Macaca mulatta: one gene and its partner. The protein of the gene in region 2 interacts with the protein of the main gene of each other region in a pairwise test. Links are inferred from orthologs where the notes say so. Each region holds a gene or a part of one and is shown on either strand. Other genes may lie near its edges.

Region 1 (9,708 bases), on a different chromosome or scaffold from region 2:
GCCCAAATTGCACCATTGTACTCCAGCCTGGGCAACAAGAGTGAAACTCCGTCTCAAAAAAAAAAAAAAAGAAAAAGAAAAAAGAAAAAAAGACAGTGTCCCAAGGAGTGAGGGGTCAATTATGTCAAATGCTGCCTTCCACTCAAACACTATGAGGACTGAGAATTGACCAGTGGAATTAGCAACATGGAGATCATTAGCTACCATGTTAAGCACAATTTTGGTGGAGCAGGAGGTGAAAACCTAATTGGAGAGGGCTCAAGAAAGAATAGGAAGAAAGGAACTAGAAACTGCAGGTATGGACAAAAATTTCAAAAAGTTCTGTGGTAAGGCAAGCAGAGAATTGAGGCAGTAGCTGAGGGACATACAGGGTCAAGAGTGATTTTGTTTTGTTTTCGAAGATGATAGAAATTATACTATGTTGGAAATAAGCCAGTTAGGGGGGAAACTTGATGCAGAAAAAGGAGAGAAAACTGGGATGAAGGGAAAAGGAGGCACAGACTGTACTTAAGCAGCAACAGTCTCATCAGCTAGAGGCCTTAGAATAAAGATGCATTTGCAGTGCAATAGATGTCCATTCTTCCTGGAGGTTGATAAGCCAGTGCTTTTAAACTGGCTGAACAGGAGAATCGCTAGGGAAAGACAAGCGTGTATTTACTTTAGACACTATTATTATAGTCACAAATAAGTGGCTGTAAATTGCATTTTGTTACTAACAATTCAATGATGGTACAGAAATAATCATTCATTCAACAACTACTTACTCATCTACCATGTGCCAGTTCCCAGTGTTATTCTAGGTGCTGGGGATATAGAACTGAGCACCACAGTCATATCTAAAACATTTTTATTGGTTGCATTATTTTAAAATCTATGTGTATTTGTTTACAACAAAAAATATGTTGGGGATATTTTTTGTGGTTTTCTTCACAAAATTTCTTTAAATCATCTCTTTATGCTTTGTAAAAACCCTTGTATCGCTAAGATTGACAGGTTTTATTATCAATGGTGTCCCTGAAGCTTATTTTAGAGTAGGTATTTAGGGCACTTTCTCCATTTTCTTATTTGCTGGATTTTACCCCAAGAGCTTTTCAAGTCTATTTAAGTAATCATGGAATTTGGTCACTTTTAGATAAATTAATAGGATATCCCAACTGCTTTTTAAGAACTGCTCTTAATTTCTGTTAGTCTTTTAAATGTTACTTAAAGGTAGTTATATTCTCTCACAAAATCAACTTGAGATCATTAAACTATTTAATTTCTCTTCCTTCAGTTTATACAATAAAACGAGTTCTACACAGGAAAGGAAGGAGTATAGAATTGCCAAGGCTTCTTTTCACTAAACTTAGATAGCTGAATTTTCTACCTTTCACTAAAGAACACATTCCACCTTGCTGAACCTTTAAAAGGTCAACAGCCACTTTGAGAGCGTTTATTTGTTTCAGTCTTTTCTGTGGCCTCCTTTTCAAGGTTCATTTCTCTGATTTCCTAGTAGTATACTTATTTCATGGGAAACATTTCTTTCAGAGAAGCACAAAGCCTCTTCTAAACTCTTCCTCATTCATGTCAGTCTGTTAGCTAGATTTCCCACTAGTTTAAAATTTTATTTTAGTTTTAGATTTCCCATGATCTGCTATACTTGAATATAGAATATATACATTTTCCAAAATATACTTGGAGTGTGGGAGTTGGGGAGAGAGAAGGGGAAAGGAAGGGAGAGCGAGAGAGGGACACGGAGGATAAAATGGGAAAAGGAGAGGGAGGGTTAGCGAGAAAGGGAAAGGGGAATAAAGGAGGAGAGGGATATTTGTTTTGTAAATTCTATGTTAACTTTGCTTCTTTGGAGCTTTTTCTTTTCTCTTTTTTTTTTTTTTTTTTTTTTTTTTTTTTTTTTTTGAGACAGAGTCTTACTCTATTGCCCAGGCTAGAGTGCAATGGCACAATCTTGGCTCACTGCAACCTCCGCCTCCCAGGTTCAAGCAATTCTCCTGCCTCAGACTCCCGAGTAGCTGGGATTACAGGCACGTGCCGCCACACCCAGCTAATTTTTGTATTTTTAGTAGAGACAGTGTTTCACTATGTTGGCCAGGCTGGTCTCGAACTCCTGACCTCAGGTGATCCACTCACCTCGGCCTCCCAAAGTGCTGAGATTACAGGCGTGAGCCACCATGCCCGGCCAGAGCTTTTTTTTTTTTTTTTTTTTTTTGAGATGGGAGTTTCGCTCTTGTTGCCCAGGCTGGAGTGCAATGGTGAGATATCCGCTTATCGCAACCTCCGCCTCCCGAGTTCAAGTGATTCTCCTGCCTCAGCCTCACAAGTAGCTGAACTGCGCCGGCCCAGAGCTTACTTCTTAAAGGTGTTTCAAAGGACTCATACCTGTTCTTAATTTCAAATATTGTTTACTATTTGTATATTGCATTTCTAAAACATCTTATACTTAGAGTAATAACTGTACTTTAGCCTTCCTTTCCTCATCTCCAAATATTTGTGTATTACAGAAGAGAAGAACTCCATTACATCGTGTTCTTTGTTAGAGATCTGAAATCTCATAGCCTAAAATTTTCCTCCTTGCAGCAATCACACACAGTAAAAAAGTCTGCTATAACATGGCAAGTCTGTAACGTGTGGGTCCCTCACGGCCTATAAAGTTTATTTATTACTCCCCCTCCTTCCACTGGAGCCTTCCTAATACTTAGGGTGAGGAATGTGGGTGGGTGGGCCAAGATATGGAAGAACTGGGGAGAACTATGCATGTGCCTATATTTATGAAAACATTTATGCTCATGTCAATTAAATGCATTATATGATTAAAGTGATTTGCACATCCAGGCTCCAAACAGGAAACACGATGAGTAATGACGGGACAAACTCTGGACCACTGATACAAATACAGTAACTGAACCCAAAGAAAACAAGATCGGCTGGGTGCGGTGGCTCACATCTGTAATCTCAGCAGTTTGGGGGGCCAAGGCAGGTGGATCACTCGAGGTCAGGAATTCGAGACCAGCCTGGCCAACATGGTGAAACACTGTCTCTACTAAAAATATAAAAATTAGCTGGGCATGGTGGTACGCACCTGTAATCCCAGCTACTCGGGAGACTGGGGCAGGAGAATTGCTTGAACCTGGGAGGCAGAGGTAGCAGTGAGCCAAGATCGCACCACTGCACTCCAGCCTGGGCGACAGAGCAAGACTCCGTCTCAAAAGAAAAAAAAAAAAAAGAAAGAAAAAAAGAAACAAGATTTTCATAAGAGCAGCAGATGAAAATTGCCAAAATTTACACATTTTTGTCCAAGAGTAAATATGAACAGATTAAGAGAAGTACAAAGTTTAGAGAAATTAAAAAACCTTTTAGGAAAACTGTATATTGGACTCTAACATGAATGAAGAGTTTCAAAACATATTTTACATGAAGGTTTTAGCTGTCTAAAAAGATTTGGCAGAAAATAAGCATATTGCCATAAAAGCAGAGAATCAAACTTTGACGATAAGGTCACTGAAAAGCCTTAAAACAGCTTTCATGGGTAAGTTACATAACTCTTCTCTGTCTCAGTTTACTCTTACATACATGTGACATAATGCACTTAGTGGACAAACAGCATGCAATCACTGTTAGCCATTCTGACGGCTTCTCCTCTGTGGCAAGTCAGGCAACGAGTAATAACACTTGTTCCCTTAACCTCAATTATGAGAAGATATTCCAAGACCTCCAGAAAGTTCTTTGGTATTAGAAGCTGCTCTGAAGAGTTGGGTAGAAGAGGAGACTGGTTCTACTCTTTGAGCAAACAAGCTGTAGACAGCTCTGGGCCAAACTTAAGGGTTCCAACCATGAAGGAAAGAGTGCTTCTGACAGTTACTTTGGAACTTGAGTATGTTTTTCTCTTATAAGCGTAGTGGCAAAATAACTGAGAGTTACGCAACGAAATGCCTTAGGTGCCCAGTGGTGCTCACACCCTGATGCCGATCTCACATCAGGGAACCCTTTGAATGCTGAGGGTTAGTAACACCTTCCACTACATTCCAGAGTGGGAGAATGCTGGCCACACTTGCGAAAGCTGCAGTACAAGTTTAAAACAACCAACAAAAACAAAAACCAAAATCACTTTTCTTTAGGAATGAGGTCAGCACTATGTTGCACACTCGTTTGTGGGGAGTTGAATATTTGGTGAAGAAAAGGCAGCCTGCCCGGAGGCAAAGCTAGGGATTTCGGCCAGTGGGCATATCTTTCCAAACCCTTGCTACTACTCTCGATTATCTTCTGCGACATAACCCCAGTCCACCCCTTGCTGCCTTTCTCTAACTACTTTCTCAAGGCCATGCCTTTTGGGAAGTGGTTACAAATAAGCTGTTTGCGCCACAAGCTAGAGGTTCCTCCAGCTACACGGCAAACCGAAGGAAGCTGTCAGGACATTGTGAGAGGCACTACACAACGACAACAAACACTGCCAGCGACTGCCGAGCCCCACCCCCACGCCAGCCTCAGCCCAGAGAATGCAGGCCCTGGGCTGGCTCGCCGCGGGCCAAAGACGGACGCAGCTCGCGCCGCTGGCAGCCGGAGCACAGGCATCCCTCGGTGCAAGGCAGCCGCGGGCCCTCTCCAGGCATCTCCCACCCGGAGTGCTGGGCCAGTGCCCAATAGGAAGCCCGGCGGGGGAACTTTCGCCCTCGGCTGCCACATAAACCAGTCGGGCTCAAGACTGTCCAATGACTGGGCAGGGCGGCGAAACATTCTTTGGAGTCCTGGCAGCTTCCAGGTCTCGACTGAGCTTAACGCTCTAGGAGGAGAGGAACCTAGGGCGGATGCTTCACTCGCCCCCCTTGGCCGGCCCCTTCACCCAGGGCCGAGGATGTTACAAATAGGGGCAAATTCTCGCCCCGGCCATCTTTCCCTGGGGCCTTGCCCTCCTCGTCTGCAGGCTGGAAGCAAGTTCAGCAACAGGCTGGGGCGAAAGTGTTTCCGCGCCCCCGACTGCGCAGGCTCGGTACACAGAGGCGACTTTCCGGGGCGAGTGGGCTGCAGCGGCCCGACTGCGCGGCGCTCCGGTATCGCTCCCTGGTTCAAGTTTCTGGGTCTTGGAGGCGCCTCCAATGCGTCCCAGCCACTCGCCGCAAAGAGTTAACCAAGTGGGGCGGGCCCCCAGCAGCGCGTCTCCACCGCGCACCCCCAGCCCCGCGCTCGCTGCTATCCGCCCGAACCGCAGCTGCGTCTCGCCCCCAGAGCCGGCCAGCCTCCCTCTCGCGCCGCCTTCCCACCCCGCCAAATTGGCTTCCCGCGCACTCCTCACCGCATTTCTCTGGGCCCCGCGATACTCCAATATTTCCTCAGCTGGGAGGCGCTTCACGGAGGACCCTCTGCCCCCAGTCGCTTTCCCCGCTTTCCTCCCCGCACCCCCCAGGAGGTGCCAGTACCGATGCCCTGGATGAAGACGAAGCCGGTGACCACGAGCACCGGGTGCCAGTTAAACTCGAGTGCGCTCCCGTCCCAGCCAAGCCCCTCTCGGTAGTGGAGGACCCAGACGAGGGTGAAGATCACCGACAGGAAGCCGACGAGCAGTGCCGACCCCAGCAGCGCCAGGAAGCGCCAGTAGCCCTCCATGGCCATCAGCGCCCCATACTCCGCACCGCGGGGTCCACAGTAACTTGGAGAGGCGGCGGCAGCCTTTGGGTAGTGGCCGGGCGGCGGGACCGGGGCGTCGACTTCTTGGGGCTGTCTCCGCCTGCGGGGAGGGACTTTCTGGGCTGCTGGCCCGGAATGTGGGGCCCTTGGGGGTGGGGAGCTAGCCCCAACTCAGAAACGGGCCCCACCCCCGGGATCACGGGGCCGCCGAGGGCGCTCACTGCCTGGTGGCCTCACTCTCGCCCAGCATCCAAGCTCGCAGAGGGCTTCAGTAACAGCCCTAGTTAGTTGCTCAAAGAGAGAATTCCAAGGATTTTATACCCACCACTTGCTTTTAACCCTTCCCGTATCTCGTCCTTATTTGTGGGGAGGCTGAGTAGGGCAGTGGTGCGCCCTCTTGATTAAGAGAAGAGAGGGATCCGTTGGGTAAGGTTATGTGTGTGCTTTTAACTCTAAAGAAGCCTCCTTAGCCGCAGTGCTGGAGAATTGCTGTCTCTGACATCAAAGGGTGTTAAGGAGGAACCCGTAGGGTGGTGTAAACTAAAAGTAAAATCCTAAGCCCCTCACTGACTGAATGGACCCCCTTGGCCAAGCAGACCCCAGAAAACCTTAAAGCTGAGTTTCTAGCTACAGCCAGAAGGGAAATCAGGAAGTCTACCCCCTCCCTTTTGGAATTTAGACTCAACAACTGACTAGCATTAATGTTTAAAAGAGAAATCATAAGGCGGACGGAACAGACTCTTTGTAGCAATAGGACATCAAATTATAAAAAGGACCTAAGTCACACACTCCTACAGTTAAGGAATAAACTATGGTCTAACTGCCACAAAGGTTTTCTTTTTCTCTAGAGGCACTGGTTTGAGATAAGCGATGTTAAAACTATTACAACTTAATCAGCTCACAGACGCTGACCAACTGAACCCCTGTTCCACAAGCCAGAACTACAGCTTTCATTGGACAAGAAACTGATTTCAGGAACTTTTTCCTGATAGGAAGACCACCGACCATGGACTAGTTCTGGCCAGTTTACAGGATTTGCACTTGTATGCATTCACGGCCTAAAAAGACCTTTTGAAGTATAGGTTTGAAGTAATACATTTAAATGTTAAGTCTCCACCCCAAAGAGAACATGTTACATGCATGTTTGTTCAATATGCATGTGTAAGGACCACCTCCATCAATATTCATAGTTCCTCCTGTAACCTGTTAAGTATGTATGTTTGGCCAAACTGTTCAGCATAAAGCTTCTACCCCAACCCCTCTGCCTTCCAAGTGCCTGTCTCTGGTCTTAGGCCAGAGGCTGTGTTTATCAGCCTATGGAATGGCCACCTTGCAGGCTATAACCTTTTAAAAGAAAGTCTCCTCCTTTTTCAAATTTATAATTTTTTGTTTTAAGTTAACAGTAAAGGCCGAGCGCAGTCGCTCACACCTGTAATCTTAGCACTTTGGGAGGCTGAGGCGGGCAGATCACTTCAATCCAGGAGTTTGAGACCAGCCTGGGCAACAAGGTGAAACCCTGTCTCTACTAAAAATACAAATGTGTGCACCTGTAGCCCCAGCTACTTGGGGACTGAGGAAGGAGGATCATTTGAGCCCAGAAGGTCGAGGCTGCAGTGAGCTGAGATTGCACGACTGCCTTCAGCTTGAATGACAAAGTGAGACTCTGTCTCAAAAAACAAACAAAAACCAGTAAACCGGGGTCCGCATGAAGTGTCTCACGGCTGTAATCCCAGGGCTTTGGGAGGTGGGGGCAAGAGAATCACTTGAGCTCAGGAGAGCTATGATCGCACCACTGCACTGCAGCCTGGTGACAGCTAGACTTTGTCTCGAAACAAAACAAAAACAGCATGGGCAGCAGTGGGCTTGGCCTTATCCTGCAATGAAACTATTTGCAGTTTGCTGTTGAGAGAGGGAAGACAGGAACCTCCTGGACCTGGACTTGCCATTTAGTGTGATAAATGGATTTTCAAAGTGCCAGGCCACCCAAACCGATTTGAACCAAAGCCCCTGTTGATGAAGTGAAGCTCGCTCCCTGCCCTATTTCCAACATTATCCTCACCCTTCTCCACTGGACAAAAATAGTATCAGCATTATCTAATGCTATCAAAGAAAAAGGGTTCTGACCGCCAGGGCCTCCAGAATGCATTTGGGAACGTTCACTTCTAGCCCTCTTCTGTAGCTCATCTCCAAGGACTAGTTTGCTGTATTGTCTTGTTGCTGTCTTGAAAGACCTTAGAATGTGCAGGAAGTATATGGAGGTGATTTTCAAAGCAGACTAAAGAAATAGGAGTGGCAGGCCATGGTAGTAGGGCAGGATTAAGGGCTCAGAGTAAGAGGCTGTAGACCTCACCTGTGTCATTATTTTTCCCTTGGTGGGGAGAGTAAGCAAATGGAAGAGAAGGACACCTTTCCCCAGCACAAGGCTTTGATCTGGTCCAGCTTAGCCCTCCCCTCTAGTCTCTTACCATAACCTGACTGGCTCTGATGTCCTTGGCTGTAAACTGCTCTGGCAGCTTCTGACCACTTCCTACCCACGCCCCTGCCTCTAAATTTCCCTGACCCCATCTCCACTGAGAAACCTTCCCTGAGTCTGCCCCTGCCCAGACTTTTATATCCCACTGACCTCCCCATCCAGTGCCTCCTTGTGTCACCTGTCAGGATATAATATAATGATCTGCCTCTGGCTGTCTCCACTCTCAGACTGCCCTATTGAAGGCATTGATTCTCCAATTAGTCATTTTATTCCTCCTTGACGTGGTGGTTACTCAATAAACATGTGTTGGGAGGCTAATAAGACTGAGTGTGTTAATCAGGGTCCTGGCAGAAAACACACAGCATATTGGAATTGAGTAATTTAATAATGAACAAGACTGTTTATGAAGTTGTGGGCAGTGTGTGGCAATCCTCAGAGTTAGGCAGTGCCCCAAGTCTGAAGGGTAGAGAATTACTGGAGTCCAGAGAGAAAATTGTGTGGAGGGGGAAGTCCGATAGAGGCCTTGAGTACAGGGATGCAGCCAGCCTGCAGAGACCCCATAGGGAGAAAGATGGAAGCAGATAAATATTCCAGCCTTACTCTTCTCCCCTCTGATCTTCTGCCCAGGGTCTCCCAGGGGCTAACCAGAACCTAATCAGATGCCACAGGGCAGTTCATGTAATCCATCCCAGGTCAATTTAGGGCACAGAGCAGAGGAGAGAAGAGTGAGATCCCTAGGAATACATGGAAACTATCCCTGAATCTTCCACTTTTATTTTTTCAGACCTTTTTTTTTTGGTGGTGGTTCCTGAGTGCTGCAAACATTCCGTGTTTCACCTAACATTGATTCTTTTCGTTTGTGAACTTTAGCTTATAATTCTATAACGACATCACTGTATCTCTATCCCTCTCCCTAAAAGTATCTAGTCTTTTTCCCCAATTAATGTTTTCACCCCCTTGAAATATTACTCCTAACACCTTCACTCCACTCTTGAGTTAATTTTGCTTCATAGCAGCAGCAGATGAGAATCTCTGGGATTCCAGACCCCATTTAACAAAACATTTCAGGAGGATGAAAACATGGCCAAATGGTACCAATGGTATTGAATCATCTTGAAGTTATATGTAAAACTGAGAGAATTTCAACTTTTAAATTATCTTTTAAGAATCTGGCCGGGCGCAGTGGCTCAAGCCTGTAATCCCAGCACTTTGGGAGGCTGAGACGGGTGGATCACGAGGTCAGGAGATCGAGACCATCCTGGCTAACATGGTGAAACCCCGTCTCTACTAAAAATACAAAAAAACTAGCCGGCCGTGGTGGCGGGCGCCTGTAGTTCCCAGCTACTCGGGAGGCTGAGGCGGGAGAATGGCGTAAACCCGGGAGGCAGAGCTTGCAGTGAGCCGAGATAGCGCCACTTCACTCCAGCCTGGGTGACAGAGCGAGACTCCGTCTCAAAAAAAAAAAAAAAGAATCTAACTTTGATATTAAACAAAACTGTCACTGAGAAGGGGAAATTTTTCAATAAATATTGTTGTGGCTTACTGTTAACCTTTTAATTAATTATTTTTCTTTTTGAGACAGGATCCCACTCTGTCACCCAGATTGGAGTGCAGTGGCA
Region 2 (9,945 bases):
TAGGGGCCAGTGTGAGGAAGGGGTCCAGCTGGAGGCTCTGCCCTGTCCCCCAGGCTGCTGGGAGAGAAGGCCAGGCCCTGGGTCCCTGGTGCTCCTAGTGCCTGTAAGGAAAGGAGGGAGAACAGGGTCTGAGGGAGAAGGGAGGGCTGGGGCCAGGGCTGGGGCAGGCCAGAGGGCAGCCCACAACATCTCACCAACAATGTGTGACATTATCCAACCACTGTGACGCCAATGATGACTGCTAGGAGGACGACGGTGATGGACACACAGATGGCAATCAAGACTTTCTTCTGTGGGAGAGGAGGGGGTCAGGGAAGTCACACAGGGTGCCTGGGGCAGAGGCTGGGCCTGGGAGGCTCACCTTCCTCGCCTTCTTCTGGTTCTCCAGGGCTGTCTTGACGTGCTCCTGCCCGCGTTCCACGTAGTCCGCTGAGCTCAGGATGTTCTTCTCAATCCGATTGATCATCTCCCCCTGCTCAGAGGATGGGGTGATTCAGGGAGGTAAGGATGCCTTTGCCCACCCCACCCCAGATGACTGAAGAGCATTCCTGGCAGGAAAAAAAAAGATTGCACTAACAAAGACAAGGGCAAGACTCGATCTGACAAAAGTTCAGGCTCCTTGGAGATGGCTTCCAGGTCCCTTCTATCATGTAGTCCCTTGTCCCCTGCTCGCTTATCCCATATGACCTCTATCTGCAGTGGTAGCTTGGAGCTAAGGACCTCAAATGGCTCATACCTTTCACAGATGGTGAACTGTGCCTTCACAAATCTGTCTGAATTTACCCATTCTTCCAGGCCTATCTACAGCTGCTGCAAAGCCCTCCCTATCCCTGCCTCCTCCTGGCACCACCAGCCTCAGGTCTCAGTGCTCCTACTGAATGAGATCTCTTTCCTGTAAGTCTCAGCTGCAAAAGGGCATTGGTTGTAGCATGACTGAGGCCAGCTCCTCCAGGACAGGGCTGGAAGCTCAACTCAACTCACGCAACCAGGGCCAGGGGAACACCGCCCCCACCCCAGCCTTGTACAGATGTTAGGAGGCAGCCCCTCTAAGGCAACTCTGACTGAACCTCTGAGAGGTATCAGGGTGGATGCTGTTAGTGGAGGGGGAGCCAGGGCTGGGGCCAGACCTGGGCAGGCTCAAGTTTTGGAGAGAGGGCAGGGTGCTATGCAGAAGGGAGTGGGTATCTGGGTAGCAGCAGAGGCAGGCGCCATTCTCGGGGTACAGCTAAAGATAAGAATAAGCACCAATTTGGGGGGATGGCCAAACCTGGAAGACACAAAAGCCTCAGGGAGAGAATCTAAGGGTGGCAGGAGGCTGGCAGTTTGGACTGAGCCTGGTATCACGTCTGGGGCTGCGCGGGGCACTCACCTGCATCTCCACTTCAGAAGCCAGAAAAGTGAAGATATCGTGCAGCTCACGAATACTGCGTTCAAGCTGCTGGATCTCACTGTGCCGGGCCGAGATCTCATTTAAGGCCTGTCGAGTCACCTGTGTGTCCTTCAGGATCTAGGGGGTGGACAGGAGTGGGGCAACTGTTCACAGGGAGACCGACAGCAGGTCAGAAGCTCCTGTTGAACTTCTGGGTAGCCCTCAGCCTGGAATCTGATGGGTGACTCCAGGTTAGCTAATTAATTCCCTTAGGGGCCTCAGGGTCCCCTCAATCAGAAAGGGACATAGCAAGCGGAGTCCAGTGGCTCACACCTATAGTCCCAGCTACTCGGGAGGCTGAGACAGGAGGATCACCTGAGCCCAGAAGGTCAAGAACGGGATAGGAATCAGAGGAGATGGGAGGCACAGCAGAGAGGGGCTGGCTGTGGCCACTCACATTGGACACAAACACCTCGCTCTGCCCACTATCCAGCATCTGCTCCAGCTCCTCGTCAGATACCATCCCAGCATTGGCTGTGAAGGAAAAGGCCAGGCTCAGGGCTGGGTTGGGATTACCTGCCCCTGCAGGCCAGGCTGGGCACACACAACTCACTGATCTTCAGCTGCCTCCGGATCCGCTCCACGTTCTTCTCCCGGTATTCGGACTGCATTGAATTGCACTTGTTGATGAGCTCCACGAATTGCTGGGACAGGACCCCATGCTAAAGATGAAGAATATAGGCTGGGTGCCCCGGGAGGATCCTTGCCCGGTCTGGGCCTCGGCAATCCCATAGTAAAGTGAGCAAATAGCATGAGCTCTTATGCGGGGTCTGCCACCTTAACCACTTTGTGATGACCTTGACAGGCTCCCCCATTTCTCTTAGACAAAAAGCCAAAGCCCTTAGCAAGTCTATGTGGCCCTCCATGATCTTTTTTATTTTTATTTATTTATTATTTATTTTTTGAGACAGAGTTTCGTTCTTATTGCCCAGGCTGGAGTGCAGTGGCGCAATCTTGGTTCACCACAACCTTGGCCTCCTGGGTTCAAGCGATTCTCTTGCCTCAGCCTCCCAAGTAGCTGGGACTACAGATGAACATCACCATGCATGGTTAATTTTTATATTTTTAGTAGAGATGGGGTTTCACCATGTTGGCCAGGATGGTCTCAATCTCTTGACCTCAGGTGATCCACCCACCTCAGCCTCCCAAAGTGCTGGGATTACAAGTGTGAGCCACTGCACCTGGCCTATTTTTATTTTTAATAGAGACAGGGTTGACCCGCACGGTGGCTCATGCTTGTAATCTCAGCACTTTGGGAGGCTGAGGTAGGCAGATCACCTGAGGTCGGAGTTCAAGACCAGCCTGGCCAACATGGTGAAACCCCATCTCTACTAAAAATACAAAAATTAACTGGGTGCAGTGGTGGGTGCCTGTAGTCCCAGCTACTTGGGAGGCTGAAGCAGGAGAATGGCTTGAACTCAGGAGGCGGAGGCTGCAGTGAGCAGAGATGGCACCACTGCACTCCAGCCTGGGTGACAGAGTGAGACCTTGTCTCAAAAAAAAAAAAACAGAGAGAGATGGGGTCTCGCAATGTTGCCCAGGCTGGTCTCAAACGCCTGGGCTCAACCAATCCTCCCACCTCAGCCTCCAAAGTGCTGGGATCACAGGTGTGAGCCAAGGTGCACGGCCAGCCCTCTCTGATCTTGCTTCCTCTTACTGTTCCCTCCCTCTGCCCATCCACATTGGTCTCCTTACAGCCCTCCCTAGACAAAGCACACTCTCAGCTTAAACCTTTGCATTCACTTCTCATTCTACCTAGAATGCCCATTCCCCGCAAACACCTTTAAGTCTTTTGTTCAGATGTCACCTTCTGAATGAAGCTTCCTCCACTTGCTTTCAACTGCAACGCTACCCTCCTCCAGCATGCTCAGTCCCTCTTCCGCTGCTCTTTTTTCCTTAATGCTTATTATGTTCTAAATAATTCACTTATTTATTATGGTGATTGTCTACACCAGAAGGGAAGTTCCATGAGGATAGGGATCATTGATTCACTGCTGTACCCTAAACAGTTCCAAAAAGGTCTGGCACACAGTAGGCACCCAATATGTAACTGCTGAATGCTTGCTGAATGCCAACCTTGCTGCCTACACCACAGTTCCTATGCCTAGAGATGAACATGCTGCCTGGGCGAAACAGGTGCAACAGGCCCACATGGGCCCTCGACCACTCATGCCAATCACCACCAGAGGCTTCCCCAGAAACACTGGCTCTGGGGCATCTGCTCTGCCTTGCCCCTTCTCCTGAGACCTTAAATATGCTCATTCCTTGGAGTTCCTTTTCCAGAGATACATCTGCTCTCCTGGTTCCAGCTGCACCCTTCCAAGATGCCCAAGCTGTTTCATCTTCAATCTGGGGTCTTTGCTGAGCCCTGGGCTCAACTACTCCAACCCTGACCTCTTGGTATCCTCCTCACTGGGGACACAAAGAGGGCCAGTCAGATCACTGCAAATCTCCTTACTAAGATATCACCCCAGGGGCCGTGCACGGTGGCTCATGCCTGTAATCATAGCACTTTGGGAGGCCAAAGCAGGTGGATCACTTGAGGACTTGAGGTCAGGAGTTCAAGACCAGCCTGGCCAACATGGTGAAACCTCATTTCTACCAAAAATATAAAAAACTAGCCAGGTGTGGTGGTGTACACCTGTAATCCCAGCTACTTGTGAGGCTGAGGGAGGATTATCGCTTGAAGGAGGTGGAGGTTGCAGTCAGCCAAGACTGTGCCACTGTACTCCAGCCTGGGCGACAGAGAGAGACTCCATCTCAAAAAAATAATAATAATTTTTAAAAAAAAGATATTACACCAGGGGAGTTCCTCTTCAGTGTCGCCCCAGGGAAGTTCCACTTCCTGACTTCTTGAATTCCACCTGTGGGACTAAGGATGTCCCTGTCACACAGATAGCAAACCTGCCAGTCAATTTGTGACTTCTCACTCTCCTTCCCTGGGCAGCGCCATTAGCCACCAGATCCCACGTGAGTAATGTCTTTATCCCCTATTGAACCCTAACTCCTCATGTTGACTCCTAGAAAACACGTGTCCCAGCTGGGCGCAGTGGCTCACGCCTGTAATTCCAGCACTTTGGGAGGCCAAGGCAGGAGGGTCACCTGAGGTCAGGAGTTCGAGACCAGCCTGGCCAACATGGGGAAACCCCGTCTCTACTAAAAATACAAAAATTAACTCGGCATGGTGGTGTCCGCCTGTAATCCCAGCTATTCAGGAGGCTGAGGCAAAAAGAAAAGAAAACGTGTCCCACAGTCAAGCCTAGGTCTTGTCTGGGGTCAATAAGTAACTTCTTATTGAATGGAAGAAAATAAAGCAGGGTGTTATAACCGGACTGAGCATCAGGAGACCTGGTTTCCTGACCTTGAGCAAGTTCTTTCTCTCTCTGAGCTCAGGTTCCCCACTTGGAAAAATCATCCAATTGGACTCCATGACATCTACAGGCCCTTCCTTCATACATCTGTCATCTAATACTTCATGAAACATTTGCTGAAATGTCATTTCTGAGAAAAAAAACCCACCTGGGTTTTTCTCATTCTTGTGTTGATGGAGTTATAGTTCTCATCAGCTTCCTCCTTCTGGGGCTCTATGGCTGTGGGAAGACACAGGGGTATTGGGGGTACTTGTCTCCATAGGATTTTTAGGGAAATATAATTTATCATAAAATGACTAAGGCTGAGCCTCCAAGAGGAGAAAGTAAGTTTATTTTTCTTTGCATTACATCACTTGAGTTCCCGTAGGAATGCAGAGGCCACCTAACAAAACCCCATCTCCCTGCCCAAAGAATGCCCAGTGGGCAGTGATAACTGTGTAAGTAAATGGTTTCATTGTAAATAAAAGAACCTGAGAGACTGCCTTGTGCTGTGGAGAGTACAATGGCCTGGAGGCCAGAAGACAGAGATGCTAGAACCAGGCCTGCTGTGTGACCTGGATATATCACTGGCTTCTCTGGGCCACACACTCCCCAGATATACCAACAACAGGGCAGGATCAGAGGGAAGGATCTGCCTGAGGTCCCAGTAGCTCACCCTTCAGCTGCAGGCGGATCTCCCTCCCCAGCTGTTTGATCTCGTCGCGCAGGTTCTGCAGCTCCTGCTTCATGCCTGAATAAGAGAAGGCCACGACTCCCAAACAGCAGCCCCCACCTCAACAAACCACCCTGGCCACCACCTGCGTGGAACTACAACCCCCACAATCCCTGGGGCGGAGCATGCGCTATGCAGCCGGGGTTTCACTCACTCTCCTCAGGAAGGGGCGTGGCCAGGATGGTGACCTGCTGTTTCTCCAACTCCTGGACTTTATTCCCCAGCTTGACAATAGTCTGCCGAATTGTCCGGACCTGGGGAGGGTGACCGAGAGGGCTGAAAGAGATATGGGGTACTCCAGACCACGCTGCTCCTCGGGTCCTCCTACCCCCTCGCGAATCCAGGCCAAGACTCCATCCCCTTACCTTCTGGAAGAACTCCTCGTCCGGGCTCCCCAGCCGTGCCGTGCCCGGGTGCACCACCAGCGCGACTCGCTCCTTGTCCTCTTCGTCCGAGCTGTCATCCCCCTGCCAGGCCCGGAGTCATTGGCACCACTGTTTCGCTGCGGCTGTCACCCCGCAGGACCCACAGGCTTCCGGGACTTTCCTTCCTGGCCATCAGCCACCCCTCCCTACCCCGAAGACCAGGAGTCCTGCGTTCCAGTTCGTCCGCGCGCCCCCATCCCCGCTGCCCTGGCGTCTCACCTGCCTCAGCTCGTGGGTCCTGTCCCGCATGGCGGCCTGAGCTCTCCCTCCCCGGCGTCAGACCGGGAGGCCGGCAAACTTGGAATACCCGTACCCCACTCACACTCTGACACTCCCCTCCCTCCCCCTGTGGACCCCAACACCCCCACGAGCCACCAGAGCCTCCGTCCCTTGCACCGCCCACAGTCAATGGGAAGGCGCCGACCCCGGGGACCCCCCAAGGTTCCACAGGTTGGAATTCCCTTTTCTTCCCCCCTCCAGCTCCCGCAGCCTCAGCCCCGCCCCTCCGTGATAAATTCGGGGCATGCGCATATGGTCGCGTCTCTTCCTCGCCCGAGGCGCGGAAGGTGGAGTCGGAAGTTGTTGCGCCCCGAGCGGAAGCGGAGCTGCGTGGACGCGAGAACTGGCTACCGTCACCGGAACCGTTGCATCTTCCAACGGAAATCTGGTTGCCAAAAGGGGTAGGAATACGTCATTTGTACGTAATCTGAGGCACCCGCATCTCACATCACCCCATGGTGCCCCCACCGCGTCACGTGACCAACCCGGTCCCAAACTCGTGGACCGCAGAATGTGACGCTGTGACTGTCACGTGTCCCGGCTCGGTCAGCGCCGTCTCTGGGACGCTGTTTTCATCACGACGTCCCCGGCACTCCGACCACCGAACGACGCCCACACGGCCCCCGCGAGGTGGGGAGGGGCGCGCCCACCACTCCCAGAGGCCTTTCGAGGCAGTGGGTGGTAGGACCCTTGCTGACTTCGCCTTTATTGCTTTCGGGTCCAGGGGCGTGGGCGGACTGACGACTTAGCATTTGGGGCTGTCAGCATCATGGGACCTTGAAAATCGGGAAATAATAGGATCCGAGTCGTCAGCGTCAGAAAATTGCAGGGTTGTGTGGGCAGGGAATCTAGGGGTGGAAATTGACCTCAGCCAAGGCAGAAACCTCTTCTTCCGCATCCTCCTGGCGCAGCCTCTGACAGGTGGGCAGCCAGCCGGCGCCCTCCTTGAACACTACAGCCCGGCTTCACTCACCACCTTGTGGGCTGTCAGACCATGTCAGGGCAGCTCAGGCTAAGAAAAGTGTCTCTGCACGCTGCCTTCCCTGCCACTCACACCCCCCAGACCCTGCCTTGCATCTGAGGCAGGTAATGACTTTGTTCTTAACTGAATCTGGGGAGTTCCTAGCTCAGTACCAAGCACATTACGGGCCCTCTATAAATACTTGTGGACAGAATCTTAGCCTTTCATGTATCTGAGGATGAAGACCCTGGTTCCTTGGCCTTCTTTAGGCTTCAGTCTTTCTGACTGTGACACTTCTCTAATCCTGGCTATCGAGATATTCACTCATTTTTTATTTTTAAAAATTTTTACAAGATGGGGTCTCACTATGTTGTCCAAGCTGGTCTCTAACTCCTGGGCTCAAGCAATCCTCCTGCCTCAGCCTCCCAAACTGCTGGGATTACAGGCATGCACCACCATGCACAGAACATTCATTTAATGGATATTTTTGGGCACATACTATGGGCCAAACACTGTTCTAGGGCTGGAGATACATCAAGGACTAATAGATAAAAATTCCTGCACTCGTGGAACTTAAATTCTCTAGAAGGAGTCCCCAAGGTCATTTAGTAAGTCTCAGCATAGCTGGGAATGAATAACGGGTCTCCTGGACCCCAGGGCTCTGTCCAGGAAGCTTCTGTGAAGGTACAAGCAAGGAAAGGAATGGACCCTTTCTGCTATGCCCTGGTCAGGAAACCTAGATTCCTGGGACTGGGTTGCTATGGACTTCTGGAAGTTGCTTCCTGTCTCTTAAGTGTCGATCTCCCTCTGCACAGTGGGTAACTTGGGGGGATGGGGAGATCATCTTTATGGGTATGGGCTGCTCTAAACTTCAGTGATGATGAGGTTGGAAACTGTCAAGTGCTGTCTGATTCTATGTGAGGATTTTTGGCTCTTCTCTTCCTGTTAAAACCCAGCTCTAGCAGGGTGCGGTGGCCTATGCCTGCAATCCCAGCACTTTGGGAGGCAGAGGCAGGCAGATCACCTGAGGCCAGGAGTTGGAGACCAGCCTGGCCAACATGGCGAAACCCCATCTCTACAAACGTACAAAAATTAGCCAGGCATGATGGCAGGTGCCTGTAATCTCAGCTACTTGGGAGGTTCAGACAGGAGGATTGCTTGAACCCGGGAGGCGGAGGTTGCAGTGAGCTGAGATCACGCCATTGCACTCCAGCCTAGGCGACAGAGTAAGACTCCATCTCAAAAAAACAAAACAAAACAAAACACAAAACCCAGCTAGTAGGAGAGTGGTTCCCTGATCAACCCACAGAGGGAATGCAGGGTTTTTCAGGAAGCCTCCCCTGGAGACGGTGAGGAAAGATTCCCTGCTCCCGGGTCTTCCATGGCAGCCTCTGCCTCTTCAGTCACTGCTGCTTGCCTCCCGCATCTTTTGTCCCCTACCACCCGACCCCCTTCCCCCTCCTACTCTGTGTCTCTGAGTGGCACAAGGTGGAAGGGCTCTTGGACCCCTGACTCATAGTCCTGCATGGGATCTTAAATAATGCATTATTCCTCTCTGGGACTCAATTTCCCCATTTGACGGCTTGGTCCTATAATTTCTGCCTTGCCTAAGGTAGGACTTGGACAGTATCTAGTGAGGTTAAGAAGGATGTGGAAGGGGCTGGAAAACTGTCGAGCCTCCCCTCTGGCTTTTTTTCTTTTTTCTTTTTTTTTTTTTTGAGGTTGAGTCTGGTTCTGTCACCCAGGCTGGAGTGCAATGGTGTGCTGTCAGATTCAGTCAATCCTCCTGCCTCAGCCTCCCAAGTAGCTGGTACTATAGGCATGCACCAGCATGCCTGGCTAATTTTTGTATATTTTTTTGGTAGAGACTGGGTTTCGCCGTGTTGCCCAGGCTGGTCTCAAACCCCTGGGCTCAGTCGATCCACCCACCTTGGCCTCCCAAAGTGCTGGGATTACAGGTGTGAGCCACCGTGCCCAGCCTCTCTGAGCTTTTAGTACTGTGGGTTCCAGCATCTTCTGGGCCCCCGGTCCCATCTGCCTCTTTGTTTCTCAGCATCTTGATGGCATGCCGTCTTGATCCACTAAACTTCTCAGGATTATAATATTCATTATTTCATTTGTGGTCTCTGGATGAGATTGCAGGGTTTTGGAATGGTGACTTAAGGTCACAGGAAGCTGGACTCTAACCCTTGTGGTGGTATGTGGAGAGGAAAGAGGCCATTTAGAGAGATTGGCGCTGGGGATGGAGCTCTCCAGAGCTGAGCCCTTTGTTCCTCTCAGGCCCTCTGAGCAGCCTTGAAGTGGATATTAACTATCTTAGGCTGGGTGCAGTGGCTCATGCCTGTGATCTTAGCACTTTAGGAGGCCAAGGTGGGTAGATCACTTGAGGCCAGGAGTTCGAGACCAGCCTGGGCAACATAGCATCTGTCTCTACAAAAAAATCTTCTTTTAATTACCCAGGTGCACTGGCGCTCTCCTGTAGTCCTAGCTACTCAGGAGGCTGAGGCAGGAGGATCACTTAAGTCCATGAGGTCAAGGGTACAGTCAGCAGTGATCTTGCCACTGCATTCCAGCCTGGGTGACAGAGTGAGATCCTGTATCAAAAAAAAAAAAAAAAAAAAAAAAGTAGGGTGGGTGCAGTGGCTTACGCCTGTAATCCCAGCACTTTGGGAGGCCAAGGCAGGAGAATCCTTTGAGCCCAGGAGTTGAGACCAGCCTGGGCAACATGCCAAGACCTCATCTCTGGTTTTTTTTTGTCGTGGTTGTTG

The links.
Region 1: the proteins of STX4 (region 2) and CYBRD1 interact in binary tests that used the Homo sapiens proteins (3 or more experiments, as listed by UniProt). The two-hybrid records come from large-scale screens. The link is inferred for Macaca mulatta from reciprocal best matches to the Homo sapiens genes STX4 and CYBRD1.

Annotation. Positions count from the first base shown.
Region 1 is NC_133417.1:76,457,907-76,467,614, reverse strand, and holds the start of CYBRD1 (cytochrome b reductase 1), read right to left. Parts: upstream 5,784-9,708; 5' UTR 5,602-5,783; coding exon 5,409-5,601; intron 1-5,408. UniProt on the Homo sapiens protein: Plasma membrane reductase that uses cytoplasmic ascorbate as an electron donor to reduce extracellular Fe(3+) into Fe(2+).
Region 2 is NC_133425.1:29,668,349-29,678,293, reverse strand, and holds the start of STX4 (syntaxin-4), read right to left. Parts: upstream 6,456-9,945; 5' UTR 6,187-6,455; coding exon 6,157-6,186; intron 5,980-6,156; coding exon 5,878-5,979; intron 5,789-5,877; coding exon of another isoform or gene 5,767-5,788; coding exon 5,667-5,766; intron 5,531-5,666; coding exon 5,456-5,530; intron 5,020-5,455; coding exon 4,949-5,019; intron 2,092-4,948; coding exon 1,983-2,091; intron 1,904-1,982; coding exon 1,827-1,903; intron 1,508-1,826; coding exon 1,370-1,507; intron 473-1,369; coding exon 362-472; intron 291-361; coding exon 210-290; 3' UTR 195-209; intron 102-194; exon of another isoform or gene 1-101. Other genes in the region: uncharacterized protein LOC144337996, read left to right, coding at 6,461-6,617, 6,727-6,846. UniProt on the Homo sapiens protein: Plasma membrane t-SNARE that mediates docking of transport vesicles. Necessary for the translocation of SLC2A4 from intracellular vesicles to the plasma membrane.